3 linked regions of the Caenorhabditis elegans genome follow. The protein of the gene in region 2 purifies or fractionates together with the protein of the main gene of each other region. This does not show direct contact. Each region holds a gene or a part of one and is shown on either strand. Other genes may lie near its edges.

The links.
Region 1: the proteins of rab-10 (region 2) and gsk-3 fractionate together in Caenorhabditis elegans (co-fractionation; one large-scale study listed by BioGRID). This does not show direct contact.
Region 3: the proteins of rab-10 (region 2) and dcap-1 fractionate together in Caenorhabditis elegans (co-fractionation; one large-scale study listed by BioGRID). This does not show direct contact.

Annotation. Positions count from the first base shown.
Region 1 is NC_003279.8:12,816,624-12,826,932, forward strand, and holds gsk-3 (Glycogen synthase kinase-3), read left to right. Parts: upstream 1-2,592; 5' UTR 2,593-2,738; coding exon 2,739-2,831; intron 2,832-3,911; coding exon 3,912-4,180; intron 4,181-5,026; coding exon 5,027-5,603; intron 5,604-7,495; exon of another isoform or gene 7,496-7,549; intron 7,550-7,892; coding exon 7,893-8,042; 3' UTR 8,043-8,979; downstream 8,980-10,309. Other genes in the region: nhx-8 (Sodium/hydrogen exchanger), read left to right, coding at 9,169-9,171.
Region 2 is NC_003279.8:6,454,892-6,461,783, reverse strand, and holds rab-10 (Ras-related protein Rab-10), read left to right. Parts: upstream 1-3,304; 5' UTR 3,305-3,311; coding exon 3,312-3,438; intron 3,439-3,493; coding exon 3,494-3,806; intron 3,807-3,883; coding exon 3,884-3,962; intron 3,963-4,332; coding exon 4,333-4,419; 3' UTR 4,420-4,502; downstream 4,503-6,892. Other genes in the region: knl-2 (Kinetochore null protein 2), read right to left, coding at 1-528, 575-661, 710-793; mam-8 (MAM domain-containing protein), read left to right, coding at 4,858-5,065, 5,829-5,965, 6,019-6,301, 6,431-6,880. UniProt on the Caenorhabditis elegans protein: The small GTPases Rab are key regulators of intracellular membrane trafficking, from the formation of transport vesicles to their fusion with membranes.
Region 3 is NC_003282.8:1,050,307-1,057,356, reverse strand, and holds dcap-1 (mRNA-decapping enzyme 1), read left to right. Parts: upstream 1-2,562; 5' UTR 2,563-2,570; coding exon 2,571-2,669; intron 2,670-2,718; coding exon 2,719-2,828; intron 2,829-2,894; coding exon 2,895-3,579; intron 3,580-4,283; coding exon 4,284-4,388; 3' UTR 4,389-4,833; downstream 4,834-7,050. Other genes in the region: mrps-25 (Small ribosomal subunit protein mS25), read right to left, coding at 1-156, 206-452; Y55F3AM.13 (FH2 domain-containing protein), read left to right, coding at 1,057-1,185, 1,227-1,812, 1,877-2,022, 2,070-2,273. UniProt on the Caenorhabditis elegans protein: Component of the decapping complex necessary for the degradation of mRNAs, both in normal mRNA turnover and in nonsense-mediated mRNA decay.

The DNA of each region.
Region 1 (10,309 bases), 6.4 Mb from region 2:
TTTTGTAACCACCACGAATTTTCTGAAATTTCATCGAAAATTCCGGGGTTTTTTCTTAAATATACCTACAAATGTCATAGAATTTGAACGTTGAAAATGAAAATTGCGATTTTTAACCTGAGAACTAGATTTCGGGTCTCGGCACGAAAAAAATTGTTTATCTACCGTACTCAGGGACTCTACCGTACCCGTAACTGTAGCCAAAGACTCAGAAAATCACAATTCTAGAATTTTTCGGAGGGGTCGTGACGAGACCCACTGAGAATGTGAGCGTGTTCCTTTAAAGTATCGTTTCTATTATTTGCGAATATACGATATAATTTCCGGCAAATCGGCAAATTGCCGGAATTGAAAATTTCTGGCAAATCGGCAAACCGGCAATTTACCGATAATTTCCGATGTACCGAAAAAACGGCAATTGCCGAAAATTTTTGGAAAATTGCGGATTCGCACATTTTTTTTGGAAATTTCAGAATTTAAATTTTAATCGGCAAAATTGTTCCCATTCTGTGAATGTTCCTATATCTATTTTGAACAGTAAGCAAATTCTATGAAAATACTTAAAGAAAACGGGAAAAAATTTCAAAACGGCACATTTCCGGCAAACGGCAAATCGGCAAATTACCGAGAATGAAAAATTCCGGCAAATCCGCAAACCGGCAAGTTCGCAAAAAAAATTGCCAAATTTCCGTCCACCCTTAATTGGACATTCCCGACATTGCCGAATTTCAACATTTCCGATACAAAAATAAATATAAAATCAGTATAGAATGAAAATAGAAACCATGGGAACATTGAATATGCTTATTTCCACATTGATAGCGCATTTCTTCTTCTTCTTTTTTCTTTTTCATTTCCTTTTTCTTCTCCATCTCACCATATTTTTGCCCATTTCCTCCATCAGACACGCGCTCGCGCTCACTCGCTCACCACACTCAATTTTAGCTGTTTTTCCTTCTTTTCCACCCCCTCATATTGACTGACACATATATATTATATATATATATATATATAAAGATACATATATGCAAATTGATGTTCGGCAAATTGACATTGTGCAATTTGCCGAACATGAAAATTTCCGGCAAACTGGCAAACCGGCAGTTTCCCGGAAAACAATTTTCCGAACGACAATTGCCAGTTTTCCGGTATATATATTTATATATTCCCTATTACGATCAATATAGAATCCTGTTTAGCCAAAATCTTTTTTGATTTTTCCCAAGGAACAACATTTTAAAAAAATACGTACCTTTTTATTGCCACGAAATTTAATTGGAAAAAATCAATTTTGAAATAAAATGTATTTTTGTATTTATATAAAAAGCAATTCTATTTATTTTTAAAACGTGTTGGATTAGTTTTTTAAAATAAAAAAAACAACACCGAAATTTAGTCATTTTTCGTTCAATCGTTAGTGAGAAGCGGTGAGTTTTGGCGATTTTGAGCATTTTCCGTTGAAAATATGAGTAATTTCCTATTAAACTGGTTATTTCGATCGCGCTAGTGAAATTTCTTGAAATTGTGTAGCAAAATGGGCTTACATGCTATTTTAAGATGAGCAATTGAAGCATTTTATTTTGATTCAGTCAGAATTTTGAAATACTTACGAAAATAGCAATTATATCAATTCCAAATCAAAAAATATGGTACTTATGGGTTTCGTTCCCCCCAAAATGATTTCCATATTTTCTAATTGATACGTGAACTTTTTTTTCATTCCCAGGCTTAGGGAAATGATTTTCTAAGCCTTGTAAAAATGAAAACAGTATTAAAATAAACAATAACGTGTGGATTAAAATTAAAAAGGTAGTGTTGAATAATTAAAAATCATTTTGGGGGGAACGAAACCCATAAGTACCAAAAATATAGTTTCTTCTAGAAATATATTTTTTATTGCCGCTAAATTTAGAAAAATTCAATTTCGAATGAATATGTATTTATTTATTTTGAAAAAAACGTACATTAAAACGTGTCGGATTAGATTTTACTTCCCTTTTTTTAATTTTAAAATTCAAAAAATTCATTTCTATATTTAAAAATTTGGCAGTTTTGGCGTTTCCCTTTTATTACAGTGAGTTAGCCAACTTTTTCGAGCTAATAACATTACATTAAGCTTTAGAAAAAACTTTAGAAGTTTTGAGAAATACTACTTTTAAAACTTCGATTTTTTCAATTTTTGGCTAAATTCTATTCTAGTTTGAATATCCTCCAAAATGAGAGCTCCCCTACGACTATTTTGGATTTTTTGAAGCGAATCCTAAAAAAATGGGCTGAAAATGCCAAAAATCGTCTAATTTCCAGTAAAGTTTTTTGGCGAAATCCATATTTAACAGCTCTTTAATAGTCCTACAAATTCGACAAATTGCCGATTCGTCGGAAATTGGCCGGTTTACCGATTTGCCAGAAAAAGTCGTTTGCCGCCCACCCCTGTTCCCACTTTGGCTAGGAATTCCTAAAAGTTTATCGAATTTTGAAATGTTACTCCATTTCACCTCATATTTGCCTTAAATATCACCCATTTTTATACGTTTCCTCGTATTTTTCAAACCCAACGCCCAAATGAAATATTTTATTATTTTTTATTTTCAGGTGAATAGCCTCATTCTCTCCGTTTTCCCTCTCAAAAAACCACATCATATCCTCATCATCTAATCTCTGGCTCTTCTCATTTATTGGACAGAGCTCATATATACACACACACACACAAGAATCAAATCAATCAGTAGTGTGGTGTGATGAATAAGCAGTTACTATCGTGCTCGCTGAAAAGCGGAAAACAAGTGACGATGGTCGTCGCGTCAGTCGCCACGGATGGTGTTGATCAGCAGGTTGGTTTTGAGTGAGGAAATTTTAATTTTCTCGGAGAAATTTGGATGAAAAGAAGTTGGATATCAGAGGTGGGCGGGTATTTTTTTCGGATATTTTCTAATAATGAATTTATCAATAAGTATTGATGTAGTTATTCTGGAAAAAATGTATCCGAACAAAAGAGTAACTATTAAGCAACATTTTAATATGATAAAACCTAAAAAAATTCTACAAGTTTTCTGTATAAACGATATGCAAGTCCATTATCCGATATCCGTAATATCCGTAATATCCGATTGCTTAATAGTTACTCTTTTGTTCGGATACATTTCTTCCAGAATAACTACATCAATACTTATTGATAAATTCATTATTAGAAAATATCCGAAAAAATATCCGCCCACCTCTGGTGGAAATGCATGAAAATGAGGATTTTCACAAAAAAAAACTCTTTGGAAGTGATACAAATATATTTTTCGATATTTAGTACAACACAATAAATGAGTTATTACGTGTTTATCCACAGATAAGAAAAATCGCCATATCTGCCGCGCAAATGAACCCGCGGGAAGAGACAAAACTACTGTAGTTTTTAACCAATTTGTGTAGATTTACGAGCTATTGCGTCATCGTTGAATTTAATTTTGAGCCGCAATTTTTAATTTTCAGGCGTGTTTCACTCTTTTTTATATTGAAATTTATCTATTTATTGAATAAATCTTAAAAGAAAACACAAAAAAATTAGAAAAACGCCTGCAAATTAAATTCAACGATGACGCAATAGCTCGTAAATCTACACAAATTGGTTAAAAACTACAGTAGTTTTATCTCTTCCCGCGGGTTCATTTGCGCGGCAGATATGGCGATTTTTCTCATCTGTGGATAAACACGTAATAAATAGGTTGACAAAATTGTTCTCCTTTTCCTCGTGGAGTACACGATTTTACTCAAGCACTTAAAATATCAATTTCTTCAAAAAAAAAAAAAGGAAATTTGCTGGAAAACTAGCTGATAAAATGTGAAAAAATTATTATTAAAAAATCTCCAAACGAAAAAAAACACTGTAATTCAAATTTTAATTAAAAAAAAATGTATTGTAGGTTGAAATCTCGTACTACGATCAGAAAGTGATTGGAAATGGATCATTCGGAGTGGTATTCCTTGCCAAACTCTCTACAACAAATGAAATGGTTGCAATCAAGAAAGTTCTTCAGGACAAACGATTCAAGAATCGTGAACTACAGATTATGCGAAAATTGAATCATCCAAATATCGTGAAGCTCAAATACTTTTTCTATTCGAGCGGCGAGAAGAAGGATGAACTCTACTTGAATTTGATTCTCGAATATGTTCCTGAAACTGTCTACAGGTTATTTTTATTAGGATTTTTAAAAATTTCTGGAAAATTTCAGTTTTTAGCGGAATTTTTTTGTTCAAAAATAAAGAGAATTTCTTATTTAAAAATTGAAAAAAAAAATTTTTTTGGAAATTTTTAAATAAAAATTGCGAATTTCTTTTTTAAAGATATTTTTAAAAATTTTGAAAAACAATAGTAGAAATTCAATAAAAAGCTGAATTTTTATGTTTTTTTTTGTGAAAAACTGTTTAAAAATGATGTTAATGTAAATTTTTAAAGGAAATAATCAAAAAATGCCTGATTTTTTTAACCTTTTTTGTTAATTTCTGACAAAAATTCATGGAAATTTGATTTTCCGTCGATTTTGTGAAATTTTGGTTCGAAAATTGAATTTTTTCGCTAAATTTTGATTTTTTAAGATAAAAATTGATTTTTCCCGAATTCCAGCGCTACAGGGCGATTTCAAGCAGATTTCTTTGCAACATTTTTGACTAAAATGCACTATTTCACGAATTTCCTCCTGAAATTTATGTAAAAAGCTATTTAAAAGTTCAAAAATGCGTTCCAAACGTATAGAAAGGCTACAAACTACATGGCTGATAGCTTGGAATTTAGAAAATACGATTTTAAAACAAAAAAACTTGAAATTTTGCAAAATTCTTTACAAAATTGAAAATATTCTATTTTTTTATAATTTTGAATTTTCAAGTTGAAAACCTAGAAATTTTTTTTTGACAATTTTTGACTAAAATTTATGGAAAAAATTATGTAAAAATTGAAAAAATTTAGAAAAATCGATTTTTAAACAAAAAAACTTGATGTTTTGCGAAATTTATTTGAAATTTTTAATTTTTGCAGAGTTGCCCGGCACTATTCGAAGCAGCGACAACAAATTCCAATGATTTATGTCAAATTGTACATGTATCAGCTTCTCCGTTCATTGGCCTACATTCATAGCATTGGAATCTGTCACCGTGACATTAAGCCTCAGAATTTGCTCATTGACCCGGAAAGCGGAGTGCTTAAGCTCTGTGATTTTGGATCTGCCAAATATTTGGTTCGCAATGAGCCAAACGTCTCGTACATTTGCTCGCGATATTATCGTGCTCCGGAGCTCATTTTCGGCGCTACAAACTACACGAACTCGATTGACGTTTGGTCGGCTGGAACTGTAATGGCAGAGCTTCTTCTCGGCCAACCAATTTTCCCTGGTGACTCTGGAGTTGATCAACTCGTTGAAATTATTAAAGTTCTTGGAACACCGACTCGTGAACAAATTCAAAGTATGAATCCGAACTACAAGGAATTCAAATTTCCACAGATAAAGGCACATCCATGGAATAAGGTATTCCGTGTACACACGCCTGCTGAAGCGATTGATCTCATTTCGAAGATTATCGAGTATACGCCGACGTCTCGGCCAACACCTCAAGCGGTGAGTTTTTTGGGGGTTTTTGTAGAAAAAAGGCCGAAAAATGAATTAAAAATGTTTTCCCAACACTAAATTGCTGAAAATCGACTCTTTTTTCAACTAAAAACCTTTTAAATTGAAAAAAATTGATTTTTTGTCATTGAAAACTTGAGAAAATTGCCCAAAAGTTTAAAAAATACTGCGAAATTCAGGAATTTTAATCATTTTGGCTATTTTACAATTTTATGAGAAAAATCTCTAAAAATTAATGGAAGTTTGAATTTTTCGACTTTTTATCGAGATAATTAAAATGGCGAAAATTGCACAAAAAATGTCAAAAACTGATTTCCGGTAGTTTTTAACGTTTAAAAACACTTGAAAATGGAAAAACAAAACTTATATTAAAATTGTGTCAAAAAATTATTGAAATTGTCTAAAAATGGACTTTTTTTTTGTTTTTCGGTTTTGAAAGCGAATGTTCTGTAATTTTATTCTCAAAAAATGCGAATTTTTGCTCACAAAAGTTATTATGGAACACAAAATCCTTAAAAAAACATATTCGATGCGCAAAATATATCGTAGCGAAAACTACAGTAACCTTTTAAAGGACTACTGTAGCGCTGCGCTTGTGTCGATTTACGGGCTCGATTTTTATTCTGCATTTATTAATCAAAAAATGAGACAATAATACGAAGAAACGAAGGAAAATATAGAATAGATTCATATCGAAAATCAATCCCGTAAATCGCCACACGGAGCTATAGTACCCATTTAAAGGGTTACTGTAGTTTTCGCAATGAGATATTTTGCGCGTCAATTATGATGTGTAATACGCATTCTTCTCAGAATTTTCGGTTCCCGTAATATGAATGAAAAAAAAAGAGAAAGTTGAGTGTGATTTTTGAGACATTAGACAGTTGACTGAAAATTTATTTAAAAAATTTCGGCCATTCGGTCAGCTTATTTTTCCTCCATTTTGAAAATTGCAGATTTTGCAGATTTTCGATCGCTCAAAAAAAAAGCAGCCAGTTTGAAACGAAATTCAATGATTTTATCTGTATTTTTCCAAAAAAAAGTATCTTCATTGTTCACAAATTCGATCGCCCCCTCACAAAACCGCTTAGAAAGTCCACCCCGTTCGTTGGTTGCTTTTGAAAATCGCCTTAATATCTATCGTTGAAATCTTTGTTTCCTCATTGTAATTCTCCCATAGATCAAGCCATTTCCCGGTTTTTTTTCTTAGATTTCTCAAATTGGCACGAATATGGAAGATATTTATGGAAGCAGATGGGAGCATTAGATTTTTACACAAAAAAAATTGCAGAATTTTGGCTTTTTTTTCCAATTTTTGGAAAAAGATAACTTGTGAAACCGTGGTTTTTAATTTTGAAAAAAAAGCTATAAATTCAAAGTTAGTGAAATCTGAAATAGACATAAAAATTGAAAATCCCACTGAAATTTCAACTTGAATTTAACAAAATTTCAGCTAAAACTTGGAAAGAAATGTTTCTTGGAATTTTTATAGAACTCGCTGACAAGCAGTGAGCAGTAAAAAACTCGGCTCACAATTTATCCGTACTTTTATTTTTTGAAACTAGTAACTAAATGTCAACTGCAAGAATATTAGAGGCCATACTACAAATGAGATTTCCAGAAAATTATGATGTTCTCGTAATTTTAAAGATGGAGACATTTACGTGGTATGATGGTTGAAAATTAGAAAATTGGCTTGAAAACACTTTTAAATTTAGAAAAACCACAAAAAACGAGCAAAATCGAGAAAAATGAACAATTCAACTTTCGAAAACACGATTTTCCCTATTGTGACTAACTAGTATATTTTAAATTTCCATTTTGAATTTCCTCCAAAACGAGAACTTCCCGACCAATCAGCGATTCGTCCTGCCCACTTTTCAACCAATCAGATGAAGTGGGCGGAGTTCGATGTCGTTGATTGATCGATTGGGGAGTTTGCATTTTGGAGGGAATTGTCTGCGTTTTGATCTACAAAAAATGCGGGAATTTTTTCCCAGAAAAATTGTAACGTCTGCACGCTTTTAACCATGTGAAATCAGTTGAGATGTTTGCGTCTCATCTCCCGCATTTTTCGTAGATCAAATCAAAATGGGACTTTCTGACTCCACGTGGATTCAAACATGGGGAATTTGGAACTCACAATGGACAAAAATATCGATTTTGCTCGTTTTTCTGAATTTGAGACTGTATTTTGAAATTTTTGAGAGACAAAATCGCCCCCAATTCACGCTACTTTAACAATTCAACCAATATATATATGTTTTTCGTCTTTTTCAGGCCTGCCAGCACGCATTCTTTGATGAGCTCCGAAACCCGGATGCACGTCTTCCATCTGGTCGACCTCTTCCAACACTTGAGATGGACGGTCCAATGGGAACTGGTGAAGTTTCAACGACAAGCGGTGATGTGGCTGGCCCATCGGCTTAAACTTCTTTTTTTTATTTTAATATTGGTTCTGAATTTTCTCTCGAATGTTTCTTTTTTTTTCATTTTCCGTGGGATTTTTCTTTTCCATTGATTTTATACATCCATCCTCTCCTCTCTCTCTGTCTCTCTCTCTCTCCATACCTATCATCATTAAGAAAAAAATTATTATTTTTTCTTTTGAGCCCTCCCCCCCCCACCCCCCTCCATCGCCCGTATCGTCTCCATAGCAACTGTGTTGTAGAAGCATTTCCCCCCAACTCGATTGTCTGCTGCTCTTCTTTTATTTTATTTTATTGTCCCCTCAAGCTTTTTTGTCTCGAAAAACTTGAATTTTTACTCTTTTTTTTTTACCCCACCTGGCTCCCCCCTGGATTTTTCTGTGAAAATTTGGCTAAAAATTAGGTTTTCAAGGTTCCTGAAATTTTGGCTGAAAATTGGGTTTTAGGCCAAAAATTTTGGGTTTTTTAAACCTTTGGCCTAATTTTTGAGGCCCAATTTTTTAGGACTTCATCTAGGCCCAAAGGCCTGAAAAAATCCGCGACTTCTGTACATTTCCTCCCCCTCCGCCGCCGTTTTCTTTTGTAATCCCGATTTTGTGTTCCCACGCTCTCCTCTAAAGAAATTTCTAGCCAAAAATGAATTGAAAACTGCTCTCTCTCTCCCCCATATTTTCTGTCTTTTTTTCTTTTCTTTTTTTTGCTCTGTAAGTGTCTCCCCACAACGCCAATGTCCCTGTTTTTGTGGAAATTTTTTATATATTTTTTGGAAATATAGTATTTGTCCCCCCAATTCATTACATTTTAAAAATATTTTATTTTTCCCCACTCTACCACCACCACCAACTGAAATTTCACACACCATCCAAATTCTCTCCGTCTCTCTCTCTCTCTCTCATTTTATTTTCATTTTTTTTCCTGGAAATAAAAGTGGATCGATTTTTCTGAAGATTTTCGAGATAATGATCATCCCCCCGCGCGCGCATCTCCGAATAATGCCTCTTCTTTGGACATTAAACAGTCATTTATTTGTCCGATGCGCCTTTGAAGAGACGAGAAGCTTCCTTGTTAATATTTTTCATTTTGAACCGCTGGCGCTGAAATTTACTATACATTGCTACTGAACATAAATGGTGAGGCTGTGGTGGTTTTGTAGTTTGTAGTCTTTGTGACTACAAACTACGAAAATTACTTTTTTTTTCCGCTTGGAATTGGCTTTAAAATGAAAGTTTTTTTAGTTTTTGAAAATTGGAAATTTTTTTAAATTTTAGATTTTCAGAGCGAAATCGACGATTTTTTTTTCGAAAACCGGGATTTTTATGAAATTTTGCTATTTTTGCGCAAAAAATACGGTACCGGGTCTCGACACGACAATTTTTTGTCGAATACGAACAGGTGTGCGCCTTTAAAGGATACTGTAGTTTCAAACTTGTGTTGCTGCGGAGTTTTCATCGATTTTTCGGTTTTTTTTTTGGTAAAAGCATATTTAAAACTCAAATATTACAATAAAAACACTTAAACTTAAACAATTTACCGAAAGAAAGACAGAAAAATCGATAACAATTGCATAGAAACAAAAGTTTGAAGTTACAGTACTCTTTAAAGGCGCACACCTTTTCGTATTTAACAAAAACTGTCGTGTCGAGACCGGATACCGTATTTTTGGGGCGAAAATCACAATTTTTTACGTCTGGTTAATATTTAATAATTTTTACGAATTTTTCAATAAATTTACATTTTTTTCAAATTCTTTATTTTTTTAAGCGAGTTATTGTGAAAAGTTATACATTTTCTTGCAATTTTCTTTAAAAAGTACAAAAAATTGGTTTTTTTCAAGAAAAAAATTCATGGCCGAGGTTTCCATTTTCACGGCCACGTAGAAAAATTCGACTACAAACTCCAAAAAAAAAACCTTTGAAAATCTTTAAAAATCCAAATTTCCACGAGTTTTTTTTCTTCCAAATATTTGCTAAATGACTGGTTGGTTATTGGAAGTGTACGAGTGTGTGCTAAAAAAGAAATAGAGCGCAGTTTCCACTACACTGTCTGCGGTCTCTGCGCTCGGCACACTCTCTCGTCGTCTCTTTCTCTCTCTCTATTCATACAAGAGAAGAATTTCGATTGAAACGTGTGTGTGTGTGTGTGTGTGAAATACACGTGGATTCCACATTTTGCACTCTTTTGAACCATTTCATTATGTTCTTTTTCATTTAGATATTGGTTGAGGCTCAGAAATTGTGTAGTTTGTAGTCTGAGCCTTAATGTTTAGGC
Region 2 (6,892 bases):
GCCACCATTGTCGTGTCCCCGTGTGAATCTTATCGGAGTGATTGGCTCGCCGTTCTGAGATTTCGGAGCACGAAGGGTGTAATTAGCTTCTTCCAGCTCTTCCTCTTCTTTTCGCCTTCTTTCAGCCTCAGCTTCAGCATCTCGTCGTTGTTTTTCTTCTTCTAATCTTCTCTCACGTTCCTTTGTTTGCTGTTCTTCACGCTCACGTCTGTTCCTTTCTTTCTCGTTTTCGGAATTTTTCTGGCATCCTCCAGTTAGCTCGGTTTCATCTGCCAACGTAACAATTGGTTCTGTTCTAGTTCTAATTGGTTCTTTTGGAGCCTGTTGGATAGGGCGAAGTGCGCTTCTTTGGTTGGCTGACATGCAGGAATAGATAAGGTCGGCCCAATTTTCAGGAATTCCATTTGAAAATTCATCAATAATTCTACTAGGCATTCCCATTTTTTGTTGATATTCCCGATCAATCTGTCCGACCAAGTCGAAGAAACGTCCGGAAACATCGAAAAGCAACGTAGAAGTGAAGCGTCTCTGAATATTTAATGAAAATTGTTGACGAATATGTTTCTCGACTTACACAAATAAATTCGGAACAAACTTTCTGCATCATAGTGCCTTCTTCATTTCTCACAAAACCTTCGAGTTTGAAACTGGTCGCGTTAAACTGTAAAAATATTGAAATCATGAAAACTTAAAAAAACTAGACAGTTACCTTCATGGACCACAAGTTGAGACGAATGATTTCGCTATCAAGTACATTTTGTACTCGAAGAGGAACAATTTCCGTATCACCCATTAGGCATAAAATACCGTTTATTGGAAGAAAAACAGAAATCGGAATGAGATGTCTCTCTGATTTGAATGCAACGCCTTGGCGGCAAGTGCAACGGAGCGTGTTTGCCTGGAGTCGTTGCAAAATAAAAACTGGGGAATACTTTAATTGCTCAAGAATTAGTTAGAAAAAAAATGGTAATAGCTTGAATATTTGGCTTTGAGTAGTATAAACGGTTTATTTATAGTTTTATAAAATAATTGTTCCAAAAAATCTCTAATTACACTGCTTGAGATAATGAGATATCAGTGAATCTGTGTTCCATGATTTTTACATTAATTTTATCCGCAAGGTGTCACCATTGAACATATTTGAAACAATATTCTTCGAAGCCATTCTCAATATTTAATTTGTTTTTAAAGAGCTTTATAATGAAAATAAATGAAAAATATCGACAATTCATGCTTTTATTAATTTTTCCAAGTCTACTCACTTAAATCACATTTTTCTCCATGATCATCGATCGATATGATTGTTTTCTCCGTATTACAATTGTTTGTTCCTACGATTTTGCCCTAGATTCTGCAAAAGCATTAGTCATTCACAATTCTCTATGTCCGCTCACCGCCCGTCCATTCTAAAGTGGGCGATGATGATTTCGCAATACTCTTTCTCTTCCTATGAACAAACATTCTTTCTTCAATATATTCTTACTGCCATTCTTACAATCCTAAGTGTTGATCGGTCGATAGCCATTCCGATTCCTACTCAAGCTAAAGTCAAGTTGTTCTCACAATCATTCAATAATTCTACATATATGTACATAGCTTCGGGAATTATTTATTCCATACTTTTCCAGCTAAATTGAAGGTTAAAAAGTATACCATAAAAACATATCGATTCCAGGATCAAATTATTCCATGCAGCATGGAATGTGAAAAAACTTCAGATGATTCTGAAAAGTCATAATTTTCGATTCGTTAATTAATTTCGTTAATATGAAGTTAATTCTAAATAGGTGGGAAAAAACTATTATTCAAATTTTCATGAACAGATTAGCTTGAAGTTTTGTGAAAAGGTTTTAATATTAATTTTCGCAATAATTTTGTTTTAAACTCAGAATGATTCATGCCGCTTGAACTTTTTCTTTTCATTTTTTGTTGAACCTTCTCCCACCGGAAACATAAAAACACATGATCCAACTACCACCACTAAGCTGTCAACACTTTGCCCTTTGCTTTCGCCAAGCTCTTGTGAAGCAGCTCATGTCTTTTTTCTTTTTCATCCTTCCAACAACGCGCGCTCTCTCTCTCTTTCTCCGTCTCTATTCCTTTTCTCGTTGTCTCGGTTCCATCGATCTCCCATTCAACATACGGCCGAGGCGCCCTCTCTTGTCTGTATCTCTGGTCTCTCTATCATCTAGAGAATGAGTCCTTTTCTTTCTCCACCATCTCATCAAATTAAACGTCTATTTCGGGGGTTTTGTCTATCTAGTAGAGGTCCAACCACACTAGCCTTCAAAAATTTCACCACGCCCAATGCCCTCCACCACTGAGAATTGACCCTTGTCAACAACCTTGTCTTCTGAATTTTTGATGACAGAGGCAACGGCTTCTTTTGATTTTTGAAGTTTTGAGATTGCGACTTCCTTTTCATCATTGACTCATTTTTTTCGATAATCAAAAATTATACACTACGAGGGAGCGATGTTCTCTTTAATTTTTTTTTGCTGTAGCTTCTTTTAATTTTCAAAACAATTTATCAAAACATAGCTTTCTGAAATCACCCTGAAATTTCAGCTGAAACTTATTATTTGAAAAAATATTAGAAATGTATTTTTTAACTTCAAAAAATCTAGCACATTTTGATATTCACCTATCATAATTATGAGTTAGTGTTCCTATTGTTTTTATATCAATTAATATGTTCATTTCTGTTCCTAAAATATTTCATCACAAATTATTGAAAAATCACAGTTTCTTGAACATGTCGTTCACATTTTATTCCTTATCACTTCACACATCTCATGCCATCTGATAACGTACTTTGCATTACAAAATTGCAAAGTTCACCATTCAATTTCAAATAAAAAGCACTTTCGATCAATAAACGTCCACCTGTACCCGTTTTAGATTCGCTTCCTTTCCAAATAACAATTATAATGATCTCTTTGTGTTTTCGTGACCCGCAGAGGAAGCCAGCAGCTGCTGTTCACCTTTTCCCGAGAATTTCCCAGAAACAGCTAATCGATGTGATTTGCGCATGCACGCGTTAATAGCTCCGTTCAAATTTTTTTTTGTTATAATGGAAACAACAATTAACTATTTTGTCCTGTTTTTTCTTTGACAACATTTTATGACAAAAACCTAATTTTGGAAAACTAGAAAAAAATTAGAAAGTTCTTCCAAATATCTTCCAATTGTCAACTCTTGATAACTTCTTCGAAATCTCAAAGTGTTCGTTCTATTTGCCATGACTCAAGTGCTTTTCTCTTACTTTTGTGCAACTTTAGTTCTCAACTTTTTCTCATTTCAGAAGAAAAATGGCTCGCCGACCGTATGACATGCTCTTCAAATTGCTGCTAATAGGCGACTCAGGAGTTGGAAAAACTTGCATTCTGTACAGATTTTCGGATGATGCCTTTAACACCACATTCATCTCAACTATTGGTTAGTTTTTATTCAGAATCTAGTGATTTCAAAATAATTTTCTTTTTTCATTCAGGAATCGACTTCAAAATTAAAACTATCGAATTAAAAGGAAAAAAGATTAAATTACAAATCTGGGACACAGCTGGACAAGAACGATTCCACACAATCACAACATCATATTACCGCGGAGCAATGGGAATTATGCTGGTTTACGATATCACAAATGCGAAAAGTTTTGACAATATTGCAAAGTGGTTGCGCAATATTGACGAACATGCATCGGAAGATGTTGTTAAAATGATATTGGGAAATAAATGTGATATGAGTGATAGACGAGTTGTGAGCAGAGAACGAGGAGAGAAGATCGCACAAGATCATGGTATTAGGTACGTTTTGGGAGATTAAAAAGGATTAAAAAATAAAAAAATATATATATATAATCTCAAACAATTTTTATTTTCAGCTTCCACGAGACTTCAGCTAAATTGAATGTTCACGTCGATACAGCGTTTTACGATTTAGCAGAAGCAATTCTGGCTAAGGTAAAGTTTTAAAATGTTTTTAAAAATTAAAATTAAGGATGTGAAAATTCGAAATATATTAGTACATTCTTTGCACGGGCGAATATATGTTCTGATAGTATTGAAATCGACGAAAATGTGATAATTAGATTGCTAAATGCATTAGAATCTGATTTTTTCTTGTGAAATTGTTCGTAATTAGTTGAAAAATCTAAGAGCCTTTTTATTTTTGTCCTCATTACTCTTCTAGTACAAAATATGAAGAGCGAAACTTCTTCGTTTTTAATCATGCAAAAAATTTTAATCGCTTCGTCAAAAATTGCACCAGAATAATCTAAATTAGTTTCATTAATACGATTGTTTTTTTTTCATAATTTGTTTTTATTTTCAGATGCCTGATTCCACTGACGAGCAATCCCGCGATACGGTGAATCCAGTGCAACCACAGAGGCAGAGTAGCAGTGGAGGATGCTGCTAGATTCATGTTTTTCCCTCTTACTTCTCTATTCTCCAATTTGGTTTTGTAAATGTTTCATCCGGGTATTCATGAATTTGAATGTCAATACATCTTTTTTGCTTCTTCTTCTTTCCCCCTCATTTTTTTTCGAATTTTTGCCTCACATTCTTCCCTTCTAGGAAACATTTTCTCCATTTCCACTTACCTGTTCTAACTAATGATCGTTTAAATATGTTCTCCATTTCTTTCAATTTCCCTCCCCCTTTTACTTTTCTTACAAATCTTCTCGTGCGCAGAGACTTAATAAAATAAATTGCTCTTCTTCCACATGCTAACTAGCCATCTTTACCTTCATTGCTTACTCTTGTATAATTGACATGTCCTCCCCCTCCCCCCGAAAACCGGTCACTTGTTGAATATCCAACGAGGTCACTCTAACCAACTTCAGGATTATGACAGATGACACCGTTCAACGCAATGCTTTTCAAAATTATCTACCTAGTAGTACTACCTATTTCTTACTGTACGGAGTTATGTACATTCAACGAAGGAACCTGTGAATGGGATATCAGACCTCCGTGGAATGTTGTCTCGTTGGCAATTCTTCCACGTCATCAGCATCCTGGACTACTAAATATTTCAAAGACACCCGATGTTATCACTTCTGGTGAGAAATTAAATGTATTTTCTAATGTCTTCTAGACTACATCTCGTGTATAGCATGTTCACTATTAAATCGAAATGACTAAATACATTGGCCGATCGGAGAACCTGAAATTTAGCTTCAATGGTTAATTTATTATTTGCACAAAGATTCACAACAATCATCTACTATCTCAAAACAGGTTTTATACGGTAGATCGCAATGTGCTCATCACCACGATTTCTTGCCGCGATTTTACTATAGTCACATAGATTCAAGCAGTCTAGTAGACCCTCACGGATGATGTCACATGTTAAAAAAGTTACCGACATTTTTAAAGATCATGTTCTACGGAATGTACCACGTCGGCCGTTTTTCTCATTGAGACTACGGTAGAATCGCGATTTATTCGAATCGTGGCGAGATATCAGTTACAGTTATCTGTACTTTTACAATTTTCTTTTCAGTTTTAGTTATAGTTTTTCTAAACATGTACTCGAATTGGGGCAAAAGTACTAAATATATATATTTGAAAATCTACAATTTTGTACAATCATCAATGTTTTAGGTCAATCTTTTGGCAAAATGCCGAAATTTGGAATCTTAAATATCCGCTTCTGTACTCGTAATTTTCGTGTAGTAACAATGAAAACATTGAGAAAGTAATTTAGTATACTGAAACCATTTACTTCAAGTTTTGAAAAATCTAGGAAGGTCACCAAGTGTGTCCTTTGAAACTTGCGCACTCTAACATAAATGGGGAATTTTAAAGTCGCTCGTTTTTCAGAAGGACCATTCCTACTTGCACAAGGAAAGTTCGCATCAGTGCCCTCGTCAAGAGTTACTTCTCAGAAAATCTCAAAATCAGATCATATGAGAATACTTGCATATCGGTATCAACGTCGTGGAATGGCGACTTTGAGGGTATTTTCCCATTTTAGTTTGAAATTTATGAAAACTCTTACTTATAATTTCAGATTCTTTTAAAAAACCAAACAGACGAGATCTTACTTGATACCATATCCTCAAATGAGATAGAAAGAATCAAATGGCATCGTCGAAGTGTCATTTTTCCTCCAATTCCAGATTATAATCAAACAAGTGTTATATTTGAATGTGATAATATTCAAACTGCTGAAGATATCATTGCTGTCGATGAAATTGACGTGGCAACACCTGCAAATGTTATGTGGGCGGGACAAGATTCCAAGTTTTTTGATGAAGAAGATATACGAAGAAGAGAAATTCGGAGAAGTTCAAGTAAGTTGATATTGTAGACAATATTCGGATCCCTAAAACGTTTTTTTCGTTCTTTCCTTGTTTTTTACTAATGCGAATAATATTCTACAAAAATCCCAAGGACCATCTCTATAACTTTTAAAAATTCAGAATTATCAAATGTATGTACTCCAATCTCTTGTCATTTTCGTTCTTCAATTTGTTCCTGGCAATCAACGAATATTCAACTTCTTCCATCTAAAATTGTGAATGAAGCAGCTGGTGAATCAACTTTGACATCTTCTCCAGTTCGTTTACCAATTGATGCACCATCTTTCATTCAATTACAAATGTTTAATAGTCAAGGATCTGTGACTTCTTTATCATTTCGAAATATTGGTTCAATGAATGAAAAAGTGATATGGACTGAAAAAGAGGATTCATCAATTCCCGATTCAACTGGAACTCAAAATGGATGGAATCGAGTTTTAATTTCATTGGAATCAGTTCCAAAAGGAATTCCAGTAATTCTAATTCTTAAATCTATAACTGGTGCAAACGATTTTGTGGCTTTCTCCTCAATTGATCTCGTCGATGGAGAATCAAAGACTTTAACGTGTGGTAATTTATTTT
Region 3 (7,050 bases), on a different chromosome or scaffold from region 2:
TTTTGGATCCGAAATCGGCGGGATTAAGCTTGGCAATACTCTCCAAATGCTCTCTTCGCTCCACTAATTCCGTTTTTCCTAGCGTTTTCGCCAATAATTTCTCGATTTCCTCGCGCTTCATGCCGTCCAAGTCGAATAGCACTTCCCGGCCGTCGTCTGAAACATTTTTTAGTAGAATTTTGTGGATTTTCAGCTTGAAACTTACTCAGATATGCTCTGGCAAAGGGCGTCACAACTTTATCGGCATGCTTAACGAGCTGAACTTTTGGATTGTGATATTGAAGCTGCGCCCAGTTCCAGTAGACGAAATCTCGTGCTCCAGACTGCTCGGGCGTCGGATTTTTATGAAAACCCATCGAGAACACGTTGACGTTGTCGCGAAGCTTCACTTTTCCCTGCTGGAGATAGAAGAATGTCCGCCGAAGCGGCATGGACCCGTGCATGAACGGCATTTCTGGTTTTGAGCTGAAAAAGGAAGGAATTTCGTGGGAAAACGCTGAATATGAGATTACGATAAATTTATGCAAAAGATAGAATTAAAAAACCACTGGAAAAAGCTAAAAAATCGCTTGAAAATGAGAAAAAAAATATATAATTAAAATAAATAATTTTCCTCCCAACGACACTCCGATATCACGTTGTGCGCCTTCTTTATCGTAAATCCACATTTGCTTTTATTTCTGATTTTTGGGTTTTTTAGCTGTTTTCAAGCTATTTTATATCAAAATTCAGTAAAAACCGGTAATTTTTCGTCTATTTCCCGCAAAAATTACATAAATCATGTAAAAATGCTGATTTTATACCAAAAATTCACTAAAAATAAATAACACGCACTTGTTAATTCGGAGCATCGTTGTTTTAAACTCTAAATTTTTTTTCCAGAAATTTGATGGTTTTCCCAGTTTTTCAAGCATATTTCATGTTTTTTGGTGCCTTTAACGCTTCTGAAAAATTTTAGATTCTCGAAATTCCATCTTACAATCTCTCGATTGCTCTGAAAATCTCAAAAATCTCAAGATTTCGTATAAAATAGGATTTTCCAGGGTAAATCACGCGATGCCAATGTACAAGCTGACACCGACGTTCCCACCGAATTTTGAGGTTCATCCGAAAATCGCCTGCTATCCAGTAGGTTCGTATCATAATCCATCTTTCGGAGGAGTCGGGCCTTCTGATGCGGTGCAGGTAATAGACGGATTTTGGCTCAAAAAAAACTGAAATTTCAGGTAGAATCCGATCCGCGCAAGGCTTTGGAGCACAAACAGCTCTCACTGATCGAGCAGCTCAAAGCACAGACCGAAGAGCTCAAGAAGTTGCTGGTAAGCCTTGGAGAGGCTGGAAAAGCAGAGAGATCTGCTCAAAAACCTGCGGAAAAAGCGCCAAAAGAGCCTGAGAAATCCGCTGGAGCAGCCTCTTCAGCTCCCGGAGTCCCCGGAGCCCCCGCAAAACTAGACAAGGACGCCAAGAAGGAGGCTCGCAAGGCTGCCAAGGCAGAAGCCGTAAAGAAATTGGCTTCCGGAGAGGCTCCACCACAGAAATCCGCGAAAAAGACCGTAAATTCGACTCCATGGACCGTCCAGGACGACCGAAAGACGTGGGAGACCAATCTGACTCTCACCGTGAATCTCCCAACCTCCCTTGTGGCCTACGAGCCGCAGGAGCAGCTGAAAAACGCCACGCTGACAGTGCGGGACGTGGATTTGCCGTGGGCTCGGGCTCTCGCAAAGGTCGGCGCAAGCCGTGGAGTCTCGTTTGAGGGAGAAGTCAAAAATCAGACGAAAGAGAAGAAATCCAGTCTGAAAGTTGTGAAAGGTGCGGGATTTTTTCTCTAAAAATCAGAATTTTATGATATACCCTTAATTTTCAATATTTTCAGGCCCTGCTCCCTCCCTGCAATTGGAAAAAACTACCGTCAAATCCCTTCAAACTATCTGGAAGCTGTTGGGCTCTTCACTCGGGCTCTTCTCTAGACGGCCACAACAAGTGCTCAGCGCCAGTCATCAAGCGATTTGGCTGGGAAAAGTAGGAAATTTTAGAAACTTTCCCAAAAAAATCAAATTTTCTTTCAGGCCGAGCAAATCCTTGCCGGCTCCTGTGATCAGAGCTTTGTCACACGTGAAGCTTCTCAGTTCCTGGCTCGTTTCGACTCGTTAAGCTCTCAATGGGAGGTGTGTGTCGCTGATATTGTGTTCAGAAGCCTTCTGAACCTTGGGGAGCACCTTCCGAACAATGTGGAGTTGTGGGCTAAGAAGATTGACGCTTTGATTGTTTAGATTTGATTTATTGATGTTTTTATTTGATTTTCTCGGTTTAAATGAATTATTTTGCATTTTTATCTGATTTTTTCGTTTAAGAAACAAATTTTTTGCTTTAAAAATTCAGTTTACAATTACAACGATACTCCAAAATCCCGCAGCGCGCCCTGTTTACCGTAAATCTACACCATAGAATTTCAATTTAAATTCTGTCTTTCTTTGTTTTTTTCGCGATTTTCACCGATTTCCGCAGATTTTTTGCACTTTTCTCATCATTTTTCATCGAAAACTCAACATTTTCATCCAGGAACCAGTATGAGCGACGCTAAAAAAAAGGCCGCCGCCGAGCTAGCCGCGAAAAACCTCGCACAACTCCAGAAAATCGACATCGCCGCCAGCAAGATTCTCGACAAGGTTTAACATAGAGAATTGTGGATTTTAAAGCTAAAAATTGGTTTTGTAGATGCCATTTGCCGCGATTTATCATATCGATGCGGCGAGAAAAGAGTGGAATCAGTCGAATTGCGAAGGAACATTTTTCGTCTATCAGAGAGCTGATCGGCCATATTTTAGGTGAGAAGAAGCAAGAAAACATGCAAAAATAGCTAAAATAATCAATTTTAAACTTATTTATTTCAGTTTCCTCATCGCAAATCGCAACGATCCATCGGATTTCATCGAGCCGCTCACCCTCAACCATATTCTCCGCCACGACGGAAATTTCATCTACTTTTACAAGGATTTGGCCTCAATTCAAGCACTATGGTTCCACCAGATTGATGATGCTCAGAAAATCTACAATTTGTTGCAAAAACTCGTGAATCGTCTGAAAGGAAGCACTACGGAGCAGGCTCGGGCCGCCAAGGCCGCCTCGGAGGCTCCACAGGCTTCGGTTCCGGCTCCAACGCAGGCTCCAGCAGCTCCAGCTCAAGCTCCACAAATGGCTCCTCAAGCCCCACCAAAAGTGGATCTTCTCCAGCTCATAAAAAGTGCGCAAAATCCGCCGCAAAAATCTGCGGCAACGATCGAACAAATGCCGCCAATGCTCCAGAAGCTGATGCTCAAAGAGCCGGGAGCAGCAATGTCGGCCGATGAGCTCGAGAAGGATCTTATAAAGTCGGCAAAACCGCATCGGAATCATCTTTTGCAAGAATTTACTAACTCAACGTCGGCGATTTCGTTGGCGGCGGTCTCGACGAAGCCTTTGCATGGATCGGAGGGTGATGTGGAGTCGGATATTGCTGAAGGAGAGATTTTAGAGCCACTTGATGCTTCATTTGTCGTTGGAAGTGGTGAACAGACGCCTGTTCTCAATAAAGAACAGGTTGGAGCTGGAAAAACGTTTTTTTTTTGAGTGAAAAGCTCAGATTTTTTAGATAAAATCAATTAAAAACTGATTTTTCACGAGAAATCTCGAAAATTTACATGAAAAATCTTTATTTTAGTTGAAAAATTTTGTCAAAAATCCCATTTTTGCTCGAAATTGGAGCTAAAAAATGCGAAAAATCAGTTTTTTAACGGAAAATTCAGGTTTTCCAGCTAAAAATCTGCTTTCTCAGTGAAAATGAGCAATTTTTAAGCTTGAAATCGACTTTATTTGTTTTTCAACATGAAATTACGATACTTAAGCTGAAAATTTTAGGCCCAGGCTTAGGCTCAGGCCTAGACCTAGGTTCAGGCTCAGGCTTAGGCTTCTGCTTCGGCTTAGGATTAGGCTTAGGCTTATGCTGAGGCTCAGGCTTAGGCATAGGCCTAGGCTCAAGCTTAGTCTTGTCCTTTAGATTTAGCCTTGGGCTTAGGCGTAGGCGTAGGCCTAACCTTAAACTTAGGCTTAGGCATAGGCATAGGCTTAGGCTTAGTCTAGCTTAGGTATTGAAATCTCTTTTAAAAAAAGTACCGTTTTTTCCTAAAAATTATAAAAAAGCGGTAAAATTTCCGGAAAAAAGCGAAATTTATCTAAAAATCTCAGATTTTTGTGAAAAATCGTTAAAAATCACCGAAAACCCCCTAAAATTCAAATTTTTTCAGTTCATCTCAGCAATCGCCCACCTAATGCAAACCGACGACGAATTCGTTTCACAGATTCATCAAGCCTACGTCAGTGCACTCAATCGGCGTCTAAATATCGATTAATTTCCCATTTTTTCGACCTTTTTCTCATTTTTCTGCTAAAAATCCTAATTTTCCCCGATATTTCCCTGATTTCTTGCTGGTTTTTGAGTGAAAAAATCAAAATTTTCTCCGATTTTTTGCTAAGAAATTTTTTTTTCCGATTTTTCCTGTGAAGATTTCCAATTTTTTGCTCGAAAAATCCCATTTTCCCTCTATTTTTCCCACTTTCCATATTTTTTCAACGAATATTTTTTTGTGAATATTGTGTGATTCCTCCTGAGCCCTTTTGCTCATTTTTCCCCATAAAATTGTCCATATTTTGTTCACTGAATGGGTCTCCCTATTGATGATATCTCAAACCACACCGCCCTCCAAAAATTTTCGTTTTTTTAAATTTAAAATTCCCCATTTTCTCCACTTTACTCTAAACTCTTGATTGTGAAAAATAATAAAGGAAGTCGCGTCGAAAAAGTGCAGAAAGTTGGCTGAAGCTATCGAAAATTGTGGAAAGTTACTGATAATTGTCGAAAGTTGACGAAAGTTGTCGGAAATTGTCAAAAACGGCAAAACTGACGAACTTTTGTCAATATAGTAAACGTTTTCAAACACCGCCGACAAGTTGTAGAAAACTGCTGGCAAAATATTGCACGGATTTCTGGCTTCCCTCATAAATTGAAATGGAAGAGTTTGTCGAACTAGGCCATTTTGGTTCGGCCATATCTGGGGTAGATTTACGGCGCGTTGCGGCTCGATTTTAGTTGTAAAACTAAATGCATTTGTCCGAGTGGAGTGCACCACTTTCCCATGCGTTGTCCGGCGAGCGATTGTCAATGGAGCGCGAAAAATCCATTGAGGAAGGCCGGAACCCCGTGTATATTAATAGAATAAACATTTTCATGTATGCAAAATATGTGCACAAAAACTTTTAAAGAAAGTCGGCATCAATTTTCGTGTTGAGCCATTTGGAATAAAGATTATCATTATTCATTTTCATAACAATTATATGTTTTCCCCAAGAAAGCGGAGCGAGTATCGTACCGCCAGCTTAAAGGCGCATCGCCTTTAGTGTTCGATGGGTCTCGACGCGATGAAATCTTGCCTTGGCCGCAGCGGCGATTTGTCACCATTCCACTGCGACTTTTTTCGAACGAGGGACGAGGCAAAAAGGTTTCTAGGCCATGGCCGAGTCTCCGACAAGTTTCAGCGGCAATTTATATTGCATTGTTTTCCGCTTGTTTTCTTCAGTTTTTCTTCAATTTTCACCGTTTTTTCTCATTAAAACTAACAAATAAATACATTTTACAGATTTTGAAACGATTTTCACGTGAAAGAAAGAATTTTTGGGTCGACTAGTAGCTGCGGAAGGTCACACAGTAAGTATTATCGATTAAACCAAAAAAAAACCCAAACTTTTTTCCAAACATAATAAAAAAGCTGTGTCAATGCTAATTGCACATTATTTTCATAACCAGACTTCTGAAAAAGTTGTCAAAAAATTTTTTTTGGAACTTTTGTATGAAAAAATCGATGAAAATCGAGAAAATTCGATAAAATCAGATCCCAAATGAAAAAAAAAAACCCCAAACTTTTTTCCAAACATAATAAAAAAGCTGTGTCAATGCTAATTGCACCTTATTTTCATAACCAGACTTCTGAAAAAGTTGTCAAAATTTTTTTTTTTGGAACTTTTGTATGAAAAAATCGATAAAAATCGAGAAAATTCGTTTTTTTCCATTAAAAACAGGAACATAAATCATTTATAAATTTTCAGATGGTCAGCAGGAAAAGGCGGGCAGCACAGATTGAAAGTAGCCGTAAAGGCGTCGCCAGCAAACTATGAACTTCAGAAGTGCCACTTCATATTTGTACTCACATCTTCCCGATTCAAGTTTGGGATTCGGTGACACCACAACTGGAAGCGACTCGTTTAGAATGATTGACGTATGTTTTGTTCCGTTATTGAATCAGTGAACATTTGTAAACTTAAAGGAATTCTACACAAGTGACCAAATACCCGTCTGCGGATCGTTTTGCATAATACTTTCAAAACGTTACTCAAATGAGTCGGACATATCTGTGGCACTGTGGCACTTGTTCGACAACATCACGGAATTGTTCATGCGGTTTCTTCCGCTAGTCCATCAGGCGGAACTCAATCCAGGGCACTCTATAATTTAACATCCAAAACAAATGGAGTTTTTGATGCTGGGCAAGATGAGAATTTCGATAATGTAAGTTTGTTTAGAAACTTTATTTTTGTTTAGTAAAATGTTTTCCGTGATTCGGGATTTCCACAAAGAAATTAATTATCTTTCTCAACGTGGATTACTTACTACGGCACAGCAAATCGCTCAGCCGTGACTCCAGCTCAGACAATCTCGAGTCACTTCTACGCAAAATACCATTTCTAAGACACTATACAATATACTCCTCTTCATTACAGCCCCTTATGCAGGCTAAAGTAAATCAATATTTTATCAGCCAATTTACAATCCTCCGTATCCAATTTACTGTGCAAACCCTCTGGTCTCCGGGCAAAATATTATGATGTTGCCACCAATGAACGTTCCATTTTCAAATAATTACTGGGCGTGCTTATCGATTCAAGATCACAGTTAGTTTCTTGGTTTACTTACACTCGAATTAAATACACGCATGTAGGTACAAAACCAACACTTTAGGC